Struthio camelus: one gene and its partner. The protein of the gene in region 1 interacts with the protein of each later gene in a pairwise test. Links are inferred from orthologs where the notes say so. Each region holds a gene or a part of one and is shown in the gene's direction. Other genes may lie near its edges. The genes, in order: RNF103 and ubiquitin-conjugating enzyme E2 E2.

Region 1 (10,358 bases):
GTACTGGATGAGCTCCTCCAGGCTGCGCTCGCAGAGCTGCCCGTAGCCCGAGAACTTCTGCAGCACCTTCTCCAGCTCCCGCTCCACCGTCACGCACTGGTCCATAGCGGCCGCCGCCGCCGCCGGGCCCCGCTCCTCCGCCGCCGCCGCCGCCGGGCACCGGGCCCCACTCCGCCGCCGCTGGTTCCCCCCCCCACTGCCCCCCGATCCTGCCCGGCCCTCGCCGCCCTCCGGCAGCACCGCCCGGCCCGCGGAAGGGCCCCGCTCGCCTCCCGCCGCGCTCGCAACTTCCCGCTCCTCTCCGGTGACGGCGGCGGCGGCGGCCGTCGCGCAGGCAGCGCCGCGGGCAGCCCGGGGGCCTCGGCGGCGCTCGGCGCAGGCAGAGCAACGGGCAGCCCGGGGGCCTCCCGGCGGGCCGCCAAGGGCGGGGCGGTGAGTGTTGGTCAGGCAACGCCGCGGACAGCCCCGGAAGGGCCTCGCCCCCCGCCGCGATGGGGGGAGTGAGTTGCCCCTCTCGAGCCGGCGGAGGCCTCAGCAGCGCGGGCCTCTAGGCTCCCCCCTTAGGCAGCCCGCGGGGCGGGCGCTGAGAATAACAGTCTAGGGCGAGGGGGGTCCTCAAAGTGCCGTGTTACGACTCAGGCAGTAAGGTAGGCAGCTAAGAGCGGGGTCCTGCGGGTGCCGTTGCCATGGTGACAGGCGCGGCCCGCGGGGCCCTGATGTGCGGCCCAGACCGGGCCGCACCGGCGGCTCCTCGGGCCGTGGCGGAGGGGGCCGAGGGGTCTCCTGCGCCGTGGGGCGCCGCCGGCTGGGGCTGGTCCCTTAGGTGTAACTTAGCCCCCGTGCTGAGGTGAAAATCGCCGGGCAGCAGCCCGTCGCGGCGGGAGCGGAGCTCCGCGGGGGCCGGGGGCAAGGCCCTTCCCCACCGCCCCCAGCCTTGCACTGCTACGTACCGCCGAGAGGCTTGGAGCGGGGTCAGTGCTTCATTAACAATCCTGGCGGGCCGGAAACGGAGGATTTAGGCTGTCATTAGGGCACTAGCTTGGCCAGCAAACTTCCTCTTGAGTGTTGAGTCTCGTGGGTTAAAGTCCTGCAGCCGACTGATGAGCGCGGTTGAAAGAGATGCATGCCCCTGTTTGCTTGAGTATCGCTTGGTTGGCGTACTTGTGGCAACTTCAGTGTTTGGAAAGTGTAGCACAAACCAGACCGTGGCCCCACGGTTTCTGTAGCGCAGTACATCAAAACCTCCTGCTCAACTAGACAAAACTACCTGCAAAAACAGCACTTGGTCTGAGCCTGGAGTGATGTTGTGTCGTCTGTGCCCGTGTAAAGTACTGCTGAAATAGGATAAGAAAATAGAGAAATCTGTATTCTCTTGCAAGAGCACGTGATTTGTGTAGATGCCTACAAGTGGCTGTCATTCTGTTGGATTCAGACCAAGACTGCTGCCCTTGTTTGTAGTCTTATTCTTTATGTAACCATATGTGATGTTTAAAGCCATGCAAATATCATCTTGGGTTTTATGTCATTAGCATGCTGGTTTGATTTGTTACGTTCTTCACCACTGTATTCTCCTTTGTCTTCTGTTAGCATAGGCAAGCAAGTTCACTTTTTTTTTTTTTGTCATTAAACAAAACCTATGTCTTTTGCAGGGAGCAGTAAATGGATTCTCACTGTTAGAAAAAAGAAAATATTACCTGCTTCAAAAAAAATGATCCTTTATTTCAAGATTTAATTAATCCATTTTGCTCCTGTATATTGGTTTGGCCTTGATACGTGTTCAGTTTCTGTGACATTGACTACTGCGTATTTGAAGGCAAGGGAACTTGCCACGGGACGGGGAAGAGTGACTCTCAGCTACAACTAATAAAATGCTTGACTAGATAAAGCTTTGAGCAACCTGGTCTGGTGACATAGCTGGCCCTGCTTTTTGAGCAGGCGGCTGGACTGCGTGACCTCCTGGCATCCCTTCCATCCTGAATTATTCTATGATTCATTACTAGATCATGTAAGGAGTGCCTCATTTAAATAGCTAGTGCTTTAGTTGAGCTGTCAAATCTTGGCCATCATGCTGCAAAATAACATCTACGTGTTAAATCTGTGTCCTTTTGGCCACTTGTAGATAATAGGAAACACCTTACAGTTTCTCCACATGTAATAAAATAGTGTTATTTGGCTGCTGCCATTTTGCTTTGAGACTCTCACACGCACTTACTGGCTGTTTTGAATAATATCAGTTAATGACAAGTAGGCAGGGTGTCATATAATGTATACAATTTGTGGCAATGCACCTATATTGTAGAAAAAGTACATCAAGGGATAGTATGTGAGTGAGCTCCTAACAATTACACTTACAGAGCAGGCTGACTCTTAGGAAAACTGGTTTCAGATAGTCTAAATGTTAGTTTGCTCAAATTTATCTTGTTGTATGTCAATATTAAAACCGTGCAAGAAGAGGGTATGATAGTATTTAACTTGGCAAGGGATTTAACTTGGTAAGGGACTGACTTACAATTTTCAGTTTCAATGTTATGGACTTCAAAATGACAGCCCTTCTTTCAGTGTTCCCTGTATAAGACTGAGTCTAGGAAGTGGATTATTGCCTGTATTTCCAGGCTGCGGAGTCAGCAACTGCCCGTCAGGAAGGATGGGGGAGGAGAGGGAATCCTTGCCATTTATCAAGGGGCAGCTGAGGCTTCAAATTTGGCCCTCTGACAAGAAAAGATGGTTGTCCCATTTCTCAGGATTTGGTCTCGTTCTCTGGTAAATCATAGTAAAATATTTTTGCTGCCAAGATTGTTTAAAAGCAAATCCCTGCTTCAGGTTTATGTTTAAGGGTAGGACTTACATACTTCATTCTCTTCACGTTTGTAAGACTGCTCTATGAGCATCGGACTGACTGTCTGATGGCTGTTTAATATCGTTAATTAGGTTGAGTTAACACTGGGGTCTTTAAAAATGTCAGCATCTTTCTTGTTTGCCTTCAGCCCAAATGAGTTTTCAATTCACTGTTCTCTGCATTTCCAGATAATTAAAATCCCTGAAAACGTGTTTGCAGCTGACACGTCAAAGACATTCGGAGTTCCAGCTAGAAACCAAGAAATGCCGGTTGCGTCTAGAACATCATGGCCAGTTCAGGTGGGGTCAGTTTAATAAGTCAGGGATGCGAAGGTGGGGAGAAAAAAGAGGATGAGAGAGTCTGGGAGAGGAGAATTGTTTTAGGAGGTCTTTCTCACTGTACTCAAATATGAGTCCGAGGAAGAAAATCCAAGCCTCTGTTAATATGTCAACATTTTCTGGTTTGTTTGAGCAGAGCCCTCAGTGCTGTGGGAAAGTCTCCTAGGCACCAGTGTTTTAGCACAGAGGCCCCAGGTCTGCTGCTCAGCTTTCCTAGCAATAATCCTTTTCTCTTCCAGGCTTTTGGTTAACTCACCTGCAGTGGCCAGTTCCTGGTCATACCAGTGCCCAGTATGCTTTCCATTTGCGGCTGTGCCCCTATTCATCATTGCTTTCTGTTGCCCCTTTGCCTCTGTGTTCATAGCTGCTTTGCTTTTGGTTGTTTGGGGGGCTTTTGAACAGTGGTTTGAAACATACTTTTTACTTTCTTGAAGTTACTCCAGGGTTTTGAGTTTTGGCAGATGATTAGCTTAGTATCTGCAGGGGACTCATCATCACTTACCACTGGGGAATGTTAGGAACTGATTTAACTCAGCCCATGAGCATTAGGAAATGACATATTGGTGACAGCCTCCCCAGCAGTTGGTGTTGCAAATAATTTTGCTGTGAGTGTAGACTATTAATTGTTGCTAGGTGCTTTCCAGCTGGAGGAAGCCAGACTATCACTAAGCACAGCACACAGCCTGAAGCAATAAGGGGAAGGAGGGGATACAACAAAGTGATTGGGTGGAGAAGGGTCTACAGCTTCTCGTGTTAAAAACAAAATGCTTTTTTTCTTTTTTAACTCAACACACAAAGTTTCTCTGCAAACATTTAACTCCGTATCTTCCTCCCACCCAGCACTCCACTTATTCTTGAGCTGCTCACTTGAAACAAAAAGTACAGAAATCAGGCAGCTTCTTGTGTGTGTCACAGAAGAAAGGGGTCTTCATGAAGCTTTTAGAAGAGAAGAAAAATGTGGTTTTCTTGGTGTGTTTTCAATACTTGAGAGCCTTCCTTTGGTCCTAGCGACAGGTGATGTTGAGTGTGCTTTTTATTGAAAGTACTTTGGCTCTTCGAACAGTAAGAACAAAACCGTTCTCAGTTTTGTTTTGGCCAAGGGGAAAGGATTAATCCTAGTGAGGTGGCCGCTTTCATATTAGGGAGATGGCCACTTACTCCGTTGAAGAGGGAGCTTATGCAGCTTTAATGTACTATGAAGGAGGAGGCAGCGCTTCAGCCCTGTCCTCCCACAAGCTCTTCCTGTCGACTGTTCCTCCAGTACGTTGTCCTCACGCTGCACTTCCCACAAGAGGCTCGCTTCAAATCAGAGTGAACTGATGAAATCAGTTTGCATTTAATTAAGCAGCATCAGCAGAGCTGGGTTTTGCAGTCCACCCTCTCCGCCTTTAATTTTTACTGCACCACATAAAAAAGGTATGGAGAATAAGGGTTGAGATAGCTCCTGATATGAGGCACAAAATTTACACGCCCCCAAGGGCTTGGTTGGTGGGCAGCTGCTTCTACAATCTCTCTCCTCTTCCACTTTCCAGAAAACAAACTGCACTGGGTCCGTTGCAGAAGAAAATAGCGTCCCGAATTTTCCTCTTGAAGAGGCAACGGCTGTGCACGAACGTGCAATACCAGGCAGGCTGAACCTGCATCCCACTCTGCCCAAATCTTAGGCTGGATAGGTTAGGGCACGGAAAGACAAAGGGAAAGGATAGAGTTCTTATTCCTCTTCTAGAACTGTTGACATTTTGCCTTTTTTTTTTTTTCCTTTTCTTTAAATCATACCACCCTATAAATGTGTTTAACAGTTCTGAGGAGTTTGGCTATGTAAATGCTTTCTCTCTCCAGGTCAATTTTAATGTTATCTTTTAAAAATGTGATTTTTATACCCTGGTGCGGAATTACTTAAGCCCGTACACTCTGTGGGGTTGTCAGTGTTTTGAAAATTAAGCTGTGCTATTTTTGCAGTCATGTGTATGAGTTGGTAATTTTCATGCAAATCACGGTGTCTTAAAATAACCCAACATACAGAAGAAACGTCGAGTTTCCTTCAGAGGAGAGCCTTCAGCTCAAAGTTTGAATTTTAGTACCTGTTTCGAAGCAGGCCAAACGGAGTCTTTACAGCCGCCTTAGACGGACCAGGACTATGTGCAGAGCGCTTAAGCAAGGCTCCATGCTGCATTTACAATTGCTTCAGCGTTGAAGAATAAAAACAATTTTGAAATGGTTTTCAGAAGCTGCGGTGCGGGTTTCTTGGTTGCCTTCTCCTCGGGCAGTTCAAGCTGCTTTTCAAGTTTGTGAGCACCACGGCGAAGCTGCAGAATTTGCCTCTCGCTCCCGTGCAGCCGAGTTTCACTGTCTCACTTACTGCAGCAGCAACCGACAGCTCCCGGCCGGCCGGGAGCCCCGTCGCGGAGAACCGCCGAGAGAGGGGCTAATCCCCCCCGCGAACAGCTTGCCATCACCCTCCCAGTCAACTGTTTCCATTCGGTTGTCTTAAAACTGTCCAAACACATCCGCTCCGTTTAGACTGAGTAAATATTTTTTCTGCTGATGAAAAAATGCCAGTCTGGGTTTTCCGTTTCCCAGCTAGCAGATCTAGCATCCCTAGACAGATAGACAGACGAAATCTGTATTTTATCTATATAATCTATATTTTAGGTATATATATTTTATGTATACATGGATATGTATTTTTTTAAGTAACCACAGCACGGGTTAAGGCGAGCAGGCGTTACCTGCGAGCTGCTTTATCCCGTCACTGATTTATTGGGGGGGGGGGGATTTGGATTTATTATGGGGTTTATTATTATTTGTTATTGGATTTGGGAGGGAGCGGGGAGGGGGGGGGGGTCACATCGCTCGCGCGTCCTCGGCCAAGGGGTGTTGGGGGTGAGGGGGGGGGGATGTTTTGTGGTGGTTTCGCTCGAGGCGGCGGTGCTGAATCACGGCGGGGGGAGGCGTCGCCGTGAGGCCGGGCGCCCCCTGCCGCCCTCGGCGCCTCGCTCGGTGGCGGGGCGGCCCCGGGGAGGCGGAGCGGAGCGGGGCGGGCAGCGGGGGCCCCGGCCGCCGCCTCTCCGCCTCCTCCCTCCCTCCCTGGGCGCTGCCGCAGGCGCGGCCCCCCCCGCCCGCCCCGCGCAGCGCCGGCGGCGGCCGCCGCGGGGAAGATGTGGCTGAAGCTGCTCTTCCTGCTGCTCTATTTCCTGGCGCTCTTCGCCCTGGCGCGGGTGTTGGAGGCGGCGGCGTGGTACGAGACGGGTTTCTTCGCCACGCAGCTGGTGGACCCGGTGGCGCTGAGCTTCCGGAAGCTGCGGACCATCCTGGAGGGCCGCGGGCTGGGCTACGCGGGGCTGCCCGAGAAGAAGGATGTGCGGGAGCTGGTGGAGAAGTCAGGTAGCTGCCGGGGTGGGGAGGCGGCGGTGGGGCCGGGCTGCCCCGGCCCCTTCCTTCCCCCTCCCCAACGGGGGCCGCCGGGGGAAGGGGAGGCGGGAGGTTTGGAGGGGCGCCGCCGAGCCCGACAGGCGAGGCTGGGCCGGGTGCCCCTGCGCCCCTCTTGCCGCCGCGGGTTGCGCCGTCCGGGCCAGGGCCGAGGAAGGCGGTGGGTTTGGAGAACGAGGCGCAAGAAGTAGAGGCCGCAGGCCGAGGATGGCCCCGAGGGAAGGGAATTAGGCTGGAAAAAACCCACGCGGAAAGGCGAGGGGGTGTTTGGGGAGGGGGAGGCCCGAGGGAGCGGCGAAGGACGGGGAGCGGCGGAGGTCGCGGACGGAGGTCGCGGACGGTCTCGCAGGAAAGGACGAGAGGGCCTGCAGCAGCGGGCCGGAGAGGGAGCGGGCGTAAATCATCCCCGCAGCGCCGGTGTCATCGCTGCTCTCAAATTAACAGCCATCGATCTGAGAGAGAGAGACGTCGTGGCCGGCCAGACGGACAGCACCGAGGCACCGACCTACGCCGGCTTCGAGACGCTCTCGCTCTCCTTACTAACTCCTGTGCACGCTGGGCGTCTGAGATCTCGTTTGCTCCCGTGGTTTCATCGCTTGTTTAGGTGGTTTGTCGGCTTTGCCGCTTGGAAAGCCCACGGGGCGATTTCACTCTTGCTTCCGGCCGCTCTGGCTCGTCGGGCGCTTCCGTGGTGTCGTCGTGTTGGGGTTGCGAATGCCGCAGGGAAGCGTTTGACTCCAAACGGACCGTGCTAACCGACTTCTTAAAATGCCATGGAAACGCTTTTAATACCAACAGGCTTTGCAGGATTTTTTCCGTAATTTTTTTTTTTTTTTCCCCTACGTTGTATCGATAGCTTTGGGAGCGCCCCGAGGGGTTTCAGCGGTAACGCTTTTTTTTTTTTTTTTTTTGGCTTTTCGTTTGGTAAGAAACAGCCTCTTTGGACAGCACTTCGTTTCTCCAAACTGAATGAGTTGCTTGTCAAAACGCAAGTTGTTACTAACAGTGTTTGTAAAGACTGTGAAACAACACATGAGAGGGAAACGAGATTACAGAGGAAATGCTATGAAAATGCTTTCCCGTGAGTTACTTGCGTTGCTAGGACTGGAGATCTTGGAAGCTTTTTCGTACTTAGCAGACAAAACCCAGCCGCTAACCTGGTCTACGTTAGATTTTTGCTTACAGTGGGATAATCAACATGTTTTGGGGTGCAACAGTATTGACCAGAATTCTGGAAATCCGCTTGAATTATCAGCGTTAACAATTCGTGTGCGCTGTAAAAATACCATCCTGCGAAATAGAAGTGAAGATACCTAAATTAAACTGCTGTCTGCCATTGAAATATTGCTATTCTCAGATAGTGAGGCTCAGGTGTGCCTTAACTTTTTTTGCGTGTTTGGTTGCATGTATATGGTACCTCTGTGTAATGAGAATATATTGCTAATGCCCTCTGTGGTCTGACAGCTGACGTCAAATTGTTTGTAGTCATGTCGCTACACACAGAACTGAAATAAGTTTGCAATAAAGTTCAGTTGCCTTCATGCTGAAAAAGTCCTGTAAGCAGCCACACAAAATATATTTAATGAAATTGCCACTCTCAGAAAAACAATTGGCATTACTATCAGAATTTTGTCATGATCTTTCTCAAGTGTCATTTAGACTGTATTTCTCTTACTGTCTCTTTTTCAGGAGACCTCATGGAAGGAGAGCTTTATTCTGCTCTCAAGGAGGAAGAGGCCTCTGAATCAGTTTCAAGTACAAACTTCAGTGGGGAAATGCACTTCTATGAGCTTGTGGAAGACACAAAAGATGGGATCTGGCTGGTACAGGTATAGAAATTGTACAAGTTATTTGTTTATATTTATCATATTCAAAATATGTTTCAAAGGAGGCATTTATGAGGGTAGTTATGTAGTAGGAAGAGCGTGAGATCTAAGGAGCAACTCTGTTCAAAAAAGCAGGCAAGGCTAGAAATGACGGCGTTCCTGCGCGGGCAGGAGTAACACCTGTTATTGTGTGGATTGCTCTTTGAAAACCAGGCGCTTTACAACCAGAAGTGGGCATAGCAGCACATACTTAAGAATATGGTCTGCACAATATGGCCCTGATAGCGTCAGAGCTTGTGTTTTGTGTGTCAAGTGGGTGTGTTAAGTATTTGTGCTCCCAGCTGGCCTAGGAGAGGTGCCTCTGGTCTTGCTCTTACCTTGCGGTTGCTCCATGCGTTCCGTGCTCAGACCCAACCGGTTTAAGCTTCCATTTATCTAAGGGGCTTAGAGCAATTCTACAATCTCTGTTCTCCCTTCAGAGAGGCAAGATCTCAGTGTATTCCTTTCAGGGCTGTCAGGCTGATCCCACAACGTATTCCAGCAGCTTAAAGCTTACCTTTCTCCAAACGTTGTGGCCGCGTTGATTTTTAGCATGCTTCCCCAAGGATGCATGAGAATAAGTACATTTTGGGGGAGGGGGGAAAGACTTCTGCAAAAAGGATTCTGAAATAATTTGTCTTCACTCTTTAGAACGTGAGATAGTAATCTAGACAAAAAGGTAAAAAATGCTTTTCTGCATCAGTTTCTCCATTGATAAGAGATTTTATTTTTAGGTGCAAGTTCCCCCCTGCTAGCAGCTACACTGGGCAATCAGAATTCTTCACCAGACAATTCACTGTTTCGTTGACAGCTCTCTCCTGGACGAAATGCTTTGTCTGGTCTCCTCACTTCATGTTTTCTATTTAAGTAGAAGATTATCAAGATTTAAAGACTTTCTGTTATTAGACCTGCACTCTCACCACATCAGCTTTGACCCTAAAATAGACAACGAGAGGACAGATTACCTTCATAGTCCAAATAGCATTTGTATTTCGGGAGAGGTTTATTTAGTGCTCATTGAATCCAAGTTTCAGGTTTAAATCGTGCAGAAGGAGATTCTTCAACTGGAGAGCGAGCATTGAAAGGATGTTTACTTAACATCTCCAAGGCAGCTGATAAATACATGCATGAATATACTGTGAAAAATCTTCTCTCCTCCCCATGCAATTCAAAAGAATAAAATATGGTAGCGATATGTTGTTGGTAGCTTCCGGAATTTTAATCATAATACATTTTCAGCTAGTTTCATAACAGGAGATCAAATAGGCTGCATTTTTGATATCTCCTAGTGTGATGAATGTTGTCATCATTTTGGGAATATTTGAACAGCTATTCAGTTGGTCACAATATCTGTGAAAAAAATTTGAGTGGAATTTACTGAACAATTTACTCGCTGAATGCTGTTTGTCTGGTTCTCCATGGTAAAATATATGCTAGAAATGTCATATTTCTTTTTTTTCATCCTTGCCTTCACTCCAGTTTTCATCACTTTGAGTTTTCATTAGTTCCTTTTCTCTTCCTTCCCCTCCCTGCTCCTCTCCTGCACCGTATTCTTCATGTTCGTGTGCAGATTTCACCTTGCTGTTTTGTTATTCCTCTTTCCTCTAAAGCTTCTTCTAACCATCACTTCCCTGTTCTAGTTCCTTCTTACTCTCCCTTGCTCAGCCTGCCTTATCATTAGGCACGCCTTGGAAACTTTTGCATTGACTCGATGCAGGAGATAATATCAGAGTGAGGATGCCTTGTGCATAGATTCAGTGACCGTAATGAAGGAGAGAGCATTCCCTTGCTCTCCTGTTGCTGCTGGCTGGGAAGCAGAAAGGCGCTCCAGGTCCTTCAGGATCCTTGACCCTGCATTTCTCTTCCACACTGGCTGCTGGACAGCAGTAG
Region 2 (10,595 bases), on another chromosome or scaffold:
AAAAGACACTTCAGTAAGTTGCTGTGTCCGATCTGCAGTTTGAATACGTTCTTTCCTTCATGTCTTGTGTCATCTTCAGCTAAGTTCTCTCTTCCAGAGTCACACACACAGCCAAATTCCACAAAGATATGTGAGTGGGATGAGTTAGAAAATTTTAAAAATACAGGGATTTTTACCTGGCTTTAAAAACAGGTGTTTTTATGTTCCCTGATACCACTTACTATATCCACGTGCAAAATCTTTGCAAACAGAAACATCGCAATATCTTTCCAACTGCATTTGCTGGAGCCCATGTGACGTGCATGATCCCTCTTTTTATTTTAGGATCATAGTAAAGCAGCCAAGCTTAGACTCATGTTTGATGATTGGCTCATATCTGTTTAAGCTTCCAGTAATAGAACAAGTTTGAGCTATGCTTGTGTGGCTGAGACGAGCTGAGTCTAACAATGGCCAACAACCCACTTGTGCTGCTCAGGGCTCTGAATTGTGGCACTGATATTCAAGGGCAAAGTCTGCTTAATTATGAAGTAGGTATGTGTCCCTGTGCTGTGCCTTGCATCTTTTTTTAGATTAAGTGTGTGCTCAACCTGTATCCTCCCCACTGCCTCCCCATGACTTTGTCTGCAGCCTTAGGAACAGTTCCAGTGTAATTAAGAGTGCCTGCCCCTTCCCTGAAGTTGCTGCCTCTGCTGTTTGCTTGCTTTGTTGCAGGTGAGAGAGGAAGATGAGCACTGGCTGTTCTGTTTCCTGCTCCCTGAGCGTCTGCAGGAGGAGCTCAGGGAAGAGTGGACTGGAGTTTGTCAGGCTCTAGCTAGGCCTATAGACAAAAGATGTCATTTATTCCCTGTGACAGTTACCACTGACGCAGGAAGAGACCAAAGATATTTTTTTCATCCTGTGCTTCTCTCTGGACTTTGCCCCTAGCAGCTGCTTAATCGGCATTATTTGGGTAGTGTGCAACTGACCATCAGCCAGAAAGGATAATTTAGGTTTATCACACTGCAGACATGCCCCTTTATTCCTTCCAGGTACAGCCTAAACCAAGCCCCTTGGCCAGGATCTTCAGGAAAGAAGTGCAAAACATGACTAGCCTGGCTTACGGCTGCGGGGGACTTCCATTTCGCCTGGGGAATCCCCAGCAGAGGACATGTGGGTTGTTTCCACTCTCCACAAGGCAGACAATCTGCTTCAGACTGACTGCGGTTCCTTGGGCTTCTGAAATATATTTGGTCGTCGAGATTGAAAGGATTGAACAACCCTACTATATGGGGTTTGTTTTGCTATGGTGGATGTACTAGCCACCTTAAGGAGGCACTCCTGAAGGGTGCATTAATCATGCATTAACCATAGAGGAGGTTAGGCCATATCTCCTGGAACCTTAACTTTATTAAAAGGGGGCATGAGTATCCACAGCTGTCTCTTTCTGTGTAAAGATGTAACTTTCTATGCAGAATCACAAAGAGATCCTCCGAATTTTGCCCATCTTTAGTATAAAGAGCCCTGATCCTGTAAATTAAGGTGTTACAGAACCAAAAGAAAATAATAGGAATGTGGAAGTGCTGAAAAGAGGGTGGAAATAACACTAAAAAAAAATCCCAACTTTCTTTTCTAACTTACCTTCACTTTTCAACATTGTCTCCCACCTATGGTGATGAATTAAGACAGGCAATGCAGGGAATTCTTCCAGTTACAGGTCACTGCCTTACAATAGCTTTGGAAATAAAAGATTTCACCCTTCAGCACATACAAGATGAGATTTTTAAAGCAGTGCCTTAGTCTAGGACTCAGTGGTTAACAATTTCTGTCTAGAAACTATCAGAGAATTATCCTTTGCAATTATCTTAAGTTGGGCTCTAAACCAGCAAATAAAAACAAATCTCTTTTTCTGACACTAAGCAGTGATTTATTCCCTAACTTAAAGAAAAAGCTAGGCTTTCATTAAGAACACTGAAGAAAGTTATTACTTCCCTCCTACCTATCCCTAATATGTTTTATCTTCATTCTTTGGAATCCTGGCTAGTGAAGTGCCTGAGAACCACGAGGAGCTCTGATGCCACATAGTTATTGTCCCAGTTGTTTCTTCTGGTTCCAGTGGAATGATAGTGGGAGCTATCCTGCTTCTGAGCAAAGGGGAGGAGGAGGAGCTGCGGATTATTATTTTTTTAGGTGAGAGTAGAATGAAGGAGACCTTAAATTGTTTGCATCAGGCCTTACAACTCTTTTCCTATTTAACGGCTTGGAAAGATTAGGGTGGATGAATTCTAATTATTTGGGGGTTTTCACTATTGTAGGGCAAATAAAGAAGTCAGGCTAGTCTCTGTGCCCACACAATTATTTTACTTCAGAATGCCATGAAAATACTTTAAACAGATTTCTGTCAAGGTACTATCTAAGTAATAGGCTTACCCAGTGTTCAGGATTCAATCATTTTTCCTTAATACAGGATGATTTTTTTTTAAGCGATGAAGATATATGCAATTAACTGAAAAATCTAATGAAATTTCTACTACAGCTACCTTCCCAAAATCTGTTCTTGCTACTCCATTTATACTACATGCTGATAGCTGGAAAACAAAATGAACAAGAAGAATCTCGATCTCTGAAACACTCAAACGCTGTGTCTTGGGGCTCCAGAGAGCAGGGTTCTGTGAATTGCAGTTTACCTTTGCCAACAAACAGAGTGGGATTCAGCCAAGTGGGAACGAAAGCAAAGCAAGATTGTAGGAAAAAAAGACAAATTAGGTATGATGTGAGAATGAACTAACTGAACACAGGAGAAAGAAAAGTAGCAGGGAGGTGGAAAAGAGAATACAGTACAGGCCAGATACAGGCTCTGGACTATCCTTATGGCTTTGTACTGTCACAGCAGTGTAAAGAAAGCCAATAATGGGAGAGGAATCCCTTAGTAGCATAAAGCTCCTATAGAGATTCATGCTATTCTACCTTCCCACCTCAGTTTCTCAGGATAGAGGACAGGACTGGAAAAGAGAGGGCTATAGCTGGCTATTGGCTGCTCTCAAAACAGCATGATAGGGCCCAAGAATCATCAAACACACTGAGCAGCAGGGAAGAAATGGGGTGAGTGACACAAGATAGGATAGCCCCTGCTGAGCTGAAAAGTGGAATAAGGTAGTTCTTTACACCTTTGTCCCCATTCCTCCAGTCCTCTGCTGATAATAGCTCGAAGGGATGAAATGATCTGATTCATTAGGATTTGGCTGAAAGAGATGAATAGAACAACAGAGTGCTCCACAGACAATTGAGTATTTTTGATCTCAATCTTTAATATGAAATACTTAAGTTTTGAGAGTGAATTATGCTATCACAAGAGAGCTACTGTTAACGCTTTCAGCTGTATCACAGTCGAGATACTTCCTGGTCTTTTCTCTACTTGAGAAAACCAATCCCCTCAATTTGTATGTCAAGTATATACAAAATTGTTATCAGTTATAACTTGACCACAATGCACATTTAAAAACTTAAATAGCAATATTAAAAGGACGTGTCATTTTACATGTGAGCAGATGATAAGTTATGAATGCAAATGCAGAAGAAACCTCCAAGACTGGAACCTAAATTAATCCGATATATCTTTAAATTAAACATTCTTAAATGGAAACTTGTCTCAGATTTCTCCAACTTCATGGATTTTGATTGACATATATGTCCTTGTAACAGGCATGCTGAACCAAGAGGCCTTAACGGAAGTGTCCTTAACTGTAACAGTCATAAAGCGTGGCAGCCTGCGCCAGGTTATCTTAACTCTGAGTGTCTCTCTGAGAAAGCTGTAAGCTTTTATGAGAGTAAAGAACTCAAGTTGTTCCGGAGGTGTCCAGTATTCTAAAAAAGTGTAACGTGTGGCTTAGCACCCCATCGTGGTTGAAATTTCCATTAAGTTCAAAAGGGCCAGGATTTCACCATACGGGATGCAAACTTAACAAAAGTCTTCAAAAAGATTTTGAGTAACACACTATCATGCAACCTTTAACATCTGAGGGCTAAACATACTATTTCAGAAGGCTGACAGGATAAAACTGATACTTGGGAGCAGTTGGTTACCCTGACCTATTCCCTTTACACGACATAGGTAGGGCTCATTCAAGACCTTCACTTCAAAAATCAGAAGGCACGCTTCAGTGTGCAAGTTCAGGCAGTAAAATTATTAAGTACAAATACAGTACGAATATTAAGGCAGTACAAATTTTCTCCCTAGCTTAGTTGTCCTCAATGTAAGGTACCATTTAGGGTTTTGGGCCAGAGGTTATGCACCCAAATTAAAATCAGGGCCCGACTCTCAATGATTCAAACCCTCCACTTGGTGCTCCACTTCAGCACTCCCTTGATTTTTTTGGCACCAGGAATTTATGACCCAGATTCTGGGACATGCTATGGCCCTGTCCTATCCCTCTCTAAAGGAGTCTATTCACCGAGCTTCCCTCTTGTTGCTTCCTGTGGATTCTAGCAGGGAAGAACTGTAACGAAGCACACGGAACTGCCACCAAAGCGGAGTCCTGACACGGGCCAAGGAGTTTCAATAGATAGATATTCTGATGGGAAAACGTATGCCTCCTTTAAGGCACCTCTAAGCAATCAGAACAACGTTAAGAAAGTATGGTGGAAGACTCATTTAGAAGTGAATTTCATAGCTTCCTGGATGGTTTTCAGGAGGTCTGTTTCTGAATGCCTCAAAGAAAGGCATGATTTAAGTGATTTTGGAAAAGGAGACTGTGATACCAAGAGCGCGCAACACAGCCGGCACCCCTTCAGCATGATAACAAAGCACCACTTGCAGGAGATTTGCATTCGTTAAAAGATTGTTATGGATCATATTCTTTTAATTACCTAGTTATTAGTCCTTGTGAGGAATCAGTGCATGCCAGCAGCTAGAAACCCACCTAGCTGGAGCATCAGGAGCTTTTCCTCATGAGTTCATTAGAAGAAGGAGGAAAAGGTATCTTGTAAATGCACGTGAAATAGGAAGAACTAGCCGACTGCAGTGTTTTTAAGCCTATGTGAAAAACGTGACTAGGATTACTTTAATAAGGAAATGGGAAGACACAATAAAACAAGTTATTTCAAAGCAATTACTCAACAAAGAGAAAGATTAATTTTATGTAGATGGAAACTGCAAAAGTAACTTCTGTTGTCTGGATATAATATGAGAGAGAGGTGGCAATGGTGTTTCTAATCCTTAAATATCGCAGCAGTGGTTCAAGTTCTTGATTTGCATGTGTTTAGCAGTATGGACTCCATCTACACCATAACCGCAACTCAGAAAAAGTACAGTACTTTACAGCTCACATGGGGAGAAACTTTTCCTTGTACATGTGGAATAGCATGAATGCATTTTTTTTTTAATTCCCTTCAGTCATCAGTAAGGGGAAAACATTATGACCTGCCATTACTCCTTTACCCAGGGTGGGTGTATTTCCCTGCTGGCCGAAGAAACGTTTGAATTAATATATTTGCACAGCCCAGCTAAGCATCAGTTGCATGTTAGGCGAAGCTTGAAGAAGTAATGCCAGTACAGCGTTTTAGGCAGAACTAGCATTTCAGCTAGGGCGGTAGAGCTGGTTACCTCACAGCCAGCCCTGCCAGGGGTTTGTTTCGTTCCAGGCTAATATCATTAATACCGAATAGGTAACATCTAAGCGTGGCTCTGCCTTGGCCTCTCCCACTCCGTAAGGCAAGGCCTCCCTCCCGGCGTGGGAGGCCAGATGCGCTCACCTGAGCGCAGCCACGCTGCAGCACCCATCTCCAGCCGGGATGCTTTACGTCATCGGCTGCTCTCAGCCGCCCCGGGCTGTTTGTACCACCCAGCCGCGTATCCGCGGCCAAAACGACCACGGCGAACACTTAACTATGACAACAAAGTACCAGGTCTGGCCCTGCCGCCGCTGCTGCGCCCTGCCCGGCCACGCGTGGGTGCCCCCCTGCCGGCCGGGGGGCCGCCGGCCGCGCCTGCCCCCCCCCCCCCCGCCGGGCACCGGCCTTCCCCGCCCGGGGGGGGGGGGGGGCGGTGGGCGAGGACAAAGGCAGCGCGGTGGTGCGGGGCTCCCGCACGGGCCCGGCTGGCAGCACCGCAGCAGGCAAAGCCGCGGGGCTGAAAGCCGAGGGAACAAAGAAACGCGAAAAGGGCAAAAGAAGAGCTAAGAAAGTGAACCCCGCCGGCGCCGCCGCCTCCCCGCCCCCGCTCACGGCCTGCCCCCCCCTCCCCCCCCGCCGCACCCCGTTAACGCTCACTCCGTGAGCTGCTCGGGGGCGGCGGGCACGCCAGCGGCAGGAATTGGGGGGGGGGGGGAGAAGCGCTAACCTGCCCCCCCTCGCCAACGGCCGCCGCCCCCCCCCCCCCATCCTGTCACTCCTCCTCCCTGCCCGGCTCCGCTCTAGCCCGCCCCGCCCGCGTTTCCCTTTAACGCGCGCTCCCGCCGGCGGCGCCCTCCCCCCTCCCCCTCCCGCCCGGCCGGCCCCCGCGGGCACGCGCCCGCCCCGCTCGCTTGTCACTCCCCCCCCCGCCGCCGCCGCCGCCGCAAGCGCGCGCACGCCCCTCCCTCCCTCCTCGGACCGCCAGCGCTGGGGCGAATTGGCTGCCAGGCGCGGGCGCGCGGAGCTAGCCGGGCGGCGGCGCGCGCGAGTGCGCGCGCGCGCGCGGAGGCGGCGGCGGCGGCGCGAGCGCGCGCGCGCGCGGCAGCGGCTTCACTTCTCTCCGGGCAGCAGGGGTAGGAGCGGCGGTGGGAGCAGCAGCAGCAGTGGCCGCCGCTGCTGCTGAGGGAGCGAGGGAAGAGGCGGCGGGATTAAAGGAAGAAAGAAGAAAAGAAAGAAGGAAGGAAAGAAAGAAAGAAAGAAAGGGCGAGCGCAGCGGGCTCATGACTCAGTGACCGGCCGCAGCCCCCCTGCAGCCCCCCGCCCGGCCGGACGCGGGGCGCCCGCCTCGCATCGCCCCGCAGCCTGAGCCCGGCGCCGCCGCAGACCCGCGCTCGCCCGCAGGTAGCGGCGACCCCTCCTGCTCCCCCCCCCCCAACCCAAATCCCGGTCCCGTCCGCCTCCCCTCCCCCACGCCAGGGCCCTGCCCGCTCCCACGGTGCCTACCTCTGCCCTCACCCCCCCCCATGTCACCCCCTGTCCCCCCCCCAGCATCTCCCCGCCGCCCCTCCCCTGCTGCCGCCATTCCCCCCCCCCCACCCCAGGCACAACTCCGCCGGCCCCGCTACTTGCCCCGTCTGCCAGCGGCCCCCTGTTCCCCCCGCCCCGGCCCCGCTCCGCAACCCGGGCCGGGGCACCCCCCCCCCCGGACATCCCCCCCGCCTTCCTCTCGCGGCCTCCTCTTCCTCCTCCTCCTCCCCCCGCGCGGCACCCTCCCCCCCCCCCCCCCACGGAGGAGCGGGGCGGCGGGGGCGGGTGTCAGGTTTGGGAAGTGCCCGTGGCCGTCTCACGCCGTCCTCCAGGACTGCATAGTTACTGCACATTGTGTCTCCGTGACATGCGCCGCCCCCTCCCCCTCCGGGCAGGAGGAAAATAGGCGAGTTGTGCGTGTGTTGTGCGTGTGTGTGTGTGTGTGTGTGTGCGCGCGTGTGAGTGTGCGTGTGCGGGGCCGTGTCAGCCGCCGCGGTGCCCCCGCCGCCCCGGGCCGGGCAGCGAGCGGGCTCCCCTCTCTGCCCTGTAGTGTTGTGATCCTCTTGCCCTTTACGGTTTCTAATGAAGACGAAGTAAGGCGGCTGCTCCTGTCTCTTCATGGACCCCTGCAGAAATATTCAATTTATCTTTGCTTATAGGAAATTAAGACCGCTTTAGAAGGGCATCATCACTAGCTCTGCTGCCCTTGGGACCCATCTGCGCGCTGCCAGGATCTCTCTTTCCCTGACTGCTGGATTTTTTTTTTTTTTTCCTCTTGAGAAGGGAGGGGAAGGTGCCAGTGGATATATACGACAGAAGCAGGGTCTTCTGGACGTGCTTCACTTAGAATTTATAGTTGTACTTAACAGTTGTAGTCTCTGTCGATGCTGAATCATCTCATGTTAAGGGAAGGACTTTTAAGTCCTTCCCCCCCCACCACACACAATTTTCTCAGCACAACAGCAGGAAGGTTAAAAACCCTTGTCCTATTCCACATGTAGAATAGTCTGGCAGCCGAGGGAACTGGACATCGTGTTTCTCTTTTTACTCTGTGTGACTGTTGCAAACACACTTACGGCTGTCTAGATTCAAGAAATATCTTGCATTTGTCTGTCCTGATTGCACGGAAATGTTTTCCTACAGTGTCATTCCCCAGCTGATTTTTCTTTTCCATTCTTTTATTTGTTCATGTGCTTGTTTTCTAAGTTTGGCCACATCTGAAGTGTCTGACTTCAGGGCTGTTAAAATACACTTTTTTCACAGTATTGAACATCCCTTTAACTATGCAAAATTTCTAAAATTGCAGGCATTAGGAGCGGAGGGCATGGAAATAATTGTCTCTGGATGTCAGAAAGGCGAACAGAGAGAGATGGGGAGAGAGAGAGAGACACAGAGCTGTGAGAGAGAAAGAATAAGAAACTAGCCAGACGTCAAATGACAGATTTAAGCGTTTTCCTGTTGTAAATGCTGGCATTACATGTTACAGTAATTATATGCTCTGGGCTACTGTTACAGTGTTTATCTGCTGGATAGCAACCTGAACTTATGAAGTGAATACAGTTGTTTTTGGATAATAGTAATATTTATAGCCAAGATTATTCACAGCAGATGTCTATGTATATAGGCTTCATTAAATACGCTTTTGACTTTCTGACCAGTAGCGCTAAATGATAGGTACATTGTGAAGATAATTTTGTGTTTAAAATTAGATGCACTAATCAAAGATCAGAAATAGAATCTAGAGTAAATAAAGGCCATCAGAAACATGATAAAAACAATCAGTTTGTATTTTAGCTGCATATAGAAGCAAATGAAGCGGGTCCCTGCTTTCCAATTTTCATTACAGTTATTAAATTCATATTATGACTTATCAAAGTATGCTACTCTTGTCTTTTATTGTCTCTAAGTCTTTTTTTTCTTTCATCATAACATTTGACAGCCAGGTTATAAATATCTAAAGATTAACCTGTGCAAATATGTGAATAACGGTGAATATGATATTGTATCTATATTGCAGGGAAAATTGTTCTGCTAATAATGAACAATTTTTATATTTTAATTTTAGAAATCAAACGATATATTATTTCAGTTCATGCAGCAGCCTAGGTGTTGTGCTTTTGCATGTATTTATATATGAATATATATTTATAAAACACTGCTTTTATGAACCTCAAAATGTAGCGTAAGTTGATTAAGAATAACCTAGTCCCACATCCATCACTTGCTATTTTTTTTAACCTTTTAACTATTTTGAATGCATTTCATACTTCCAGATTTTCCTTTCCTTTCTGTGTAGCCTCATAAATTAGACAGGAAAGATTTAATTCCTGCTTAAGTCAATTGGATTGAGTTATGTGAATAATGCCTGAAAAGATTGATTCTTCCACTCTAAAGTGCATACTACTTGATAGTATCAGATGTTGGTAAGGCTTTTACAAGATAGGAGTAAATTTGTTTTCTTACATGCAACTCTACCAAAAAAGCTTATGGCCTTTTTAAAAGTATCCTTTTTAGCATAACCCTGTTGACAATGATGTGACGCTGCTTTTCCTTTGCTGCCTCTTTCCATAACTACATGCAGGAAGATGGTGATCTTTTTAATTCATTAAATGAGCATGGTTAAATCTGAGCCTGCAATCCTTTTATTTTTTCTTGATAGAGTATTAAAACACGTAATAATCAAGGTGAATAGTTTTATTATTAAACGTGATGGTCTCTGTACATGAGATAGAAGGATAAGCAAGTTGAAGTTAGCAGCAATTTAAAACTCTGTGTATGAAAGAGCAAATTCTTGATTCAGACTGATTCAATCAGAAAACGACCCAGATATATGGGCAGTGCATGGGTTTAAGCAAGTAACATTTGGGCCTATGTGCTGTGAAAGTGGTTCTTTCATTAAAATCTCTAGAGGAAGACATATAAAATATTTATATAAAGTACAGATTTGGAGTTAAAGAAAATACTTTACTTTTAGTAAAATTTTCTAACAGTCATTGCCACCATATTTGCTAATTTACTAAGAGTTTTTCATGGACGTCTGCCTTTCATTAGAATAGTTAGAGAAGTCACGACAGCTGTAGCAGTGGGTTTGCAATTCTTCATCTGTCGGCATATTGTTTATTATGTTACTTAAAATGAAGGAAGAAAATCAAAATAGCTAACTCGTATCAGAAGTGTGCAAAAAATGCATTAGCTTGACTTATGAAATATACTGAAATGTCTTGTAGCTGGTATTCTCTGGTGGCTTTGTTGCCTGATGTCACTTGAACAGAATTCATCGGAAGAAAATGTCCTTATATCCTCTACCGATGTGTTTACCGTTCTAGAGGTGTGCTGTTTTAGTAAATACAAACAGTTCTGTGCTAGTGCCTTTTGGTTCTATTAATGTTTCCATCAAGCATGCCAAATAAGATGTGGATTTTGTAATGTGGAAACTCGCACTATAGTCTTGGAAAGAGCCCATAGATTTATTTCATATGGGA

The links.
Region 2: the proteins of RNF103 (region 1) and ubiquitin-conjugating enzyme E2 E2 interact in a two-hybrid assay, tested with the Homo sapiens proteins (2 studies listed by BioGRID). The link is inferred for Struthio camelus from reciprocal best matches to the Homo sapiens genes RNF103 and UBE2E2.

Annotation. Positions count from the first base shown.
Region 1 is NC_090945.1:80,783,307-80,793,664, reverse strand, and holds the start of RNF103 (E3 ubiquitin-protein ligase RNF103), read left to right. Parts: upstream 1-6,272; 5' UTR 6,273-6,332; coding exon 6,333-6,558; intron 6,559-7,072; exon of another isoform or gene 7,073-7,207; intron 7,208-8,292; coding exon 8,293-8,432; intron 8,433-10,358. Other genes in the region: E3 ubiquitin-protein transferase RMND5A, read right to left, coding at 1-105. UniProt on the Homo sapiens protein: Acts as an E2-dependent E3 ubiquitin-protein ligase, probably involved in the ER-associated protein degradation pathway.
Region 2 is NC_090943.1:43,803,114-43,813,708, forward strand, and holds the start of ubiquitin-conjugating enzyme E2 E2, read left to right. Parts: upstream 1-6,623; 5' UTR 6,624-6,987; intron 6,988-10,595.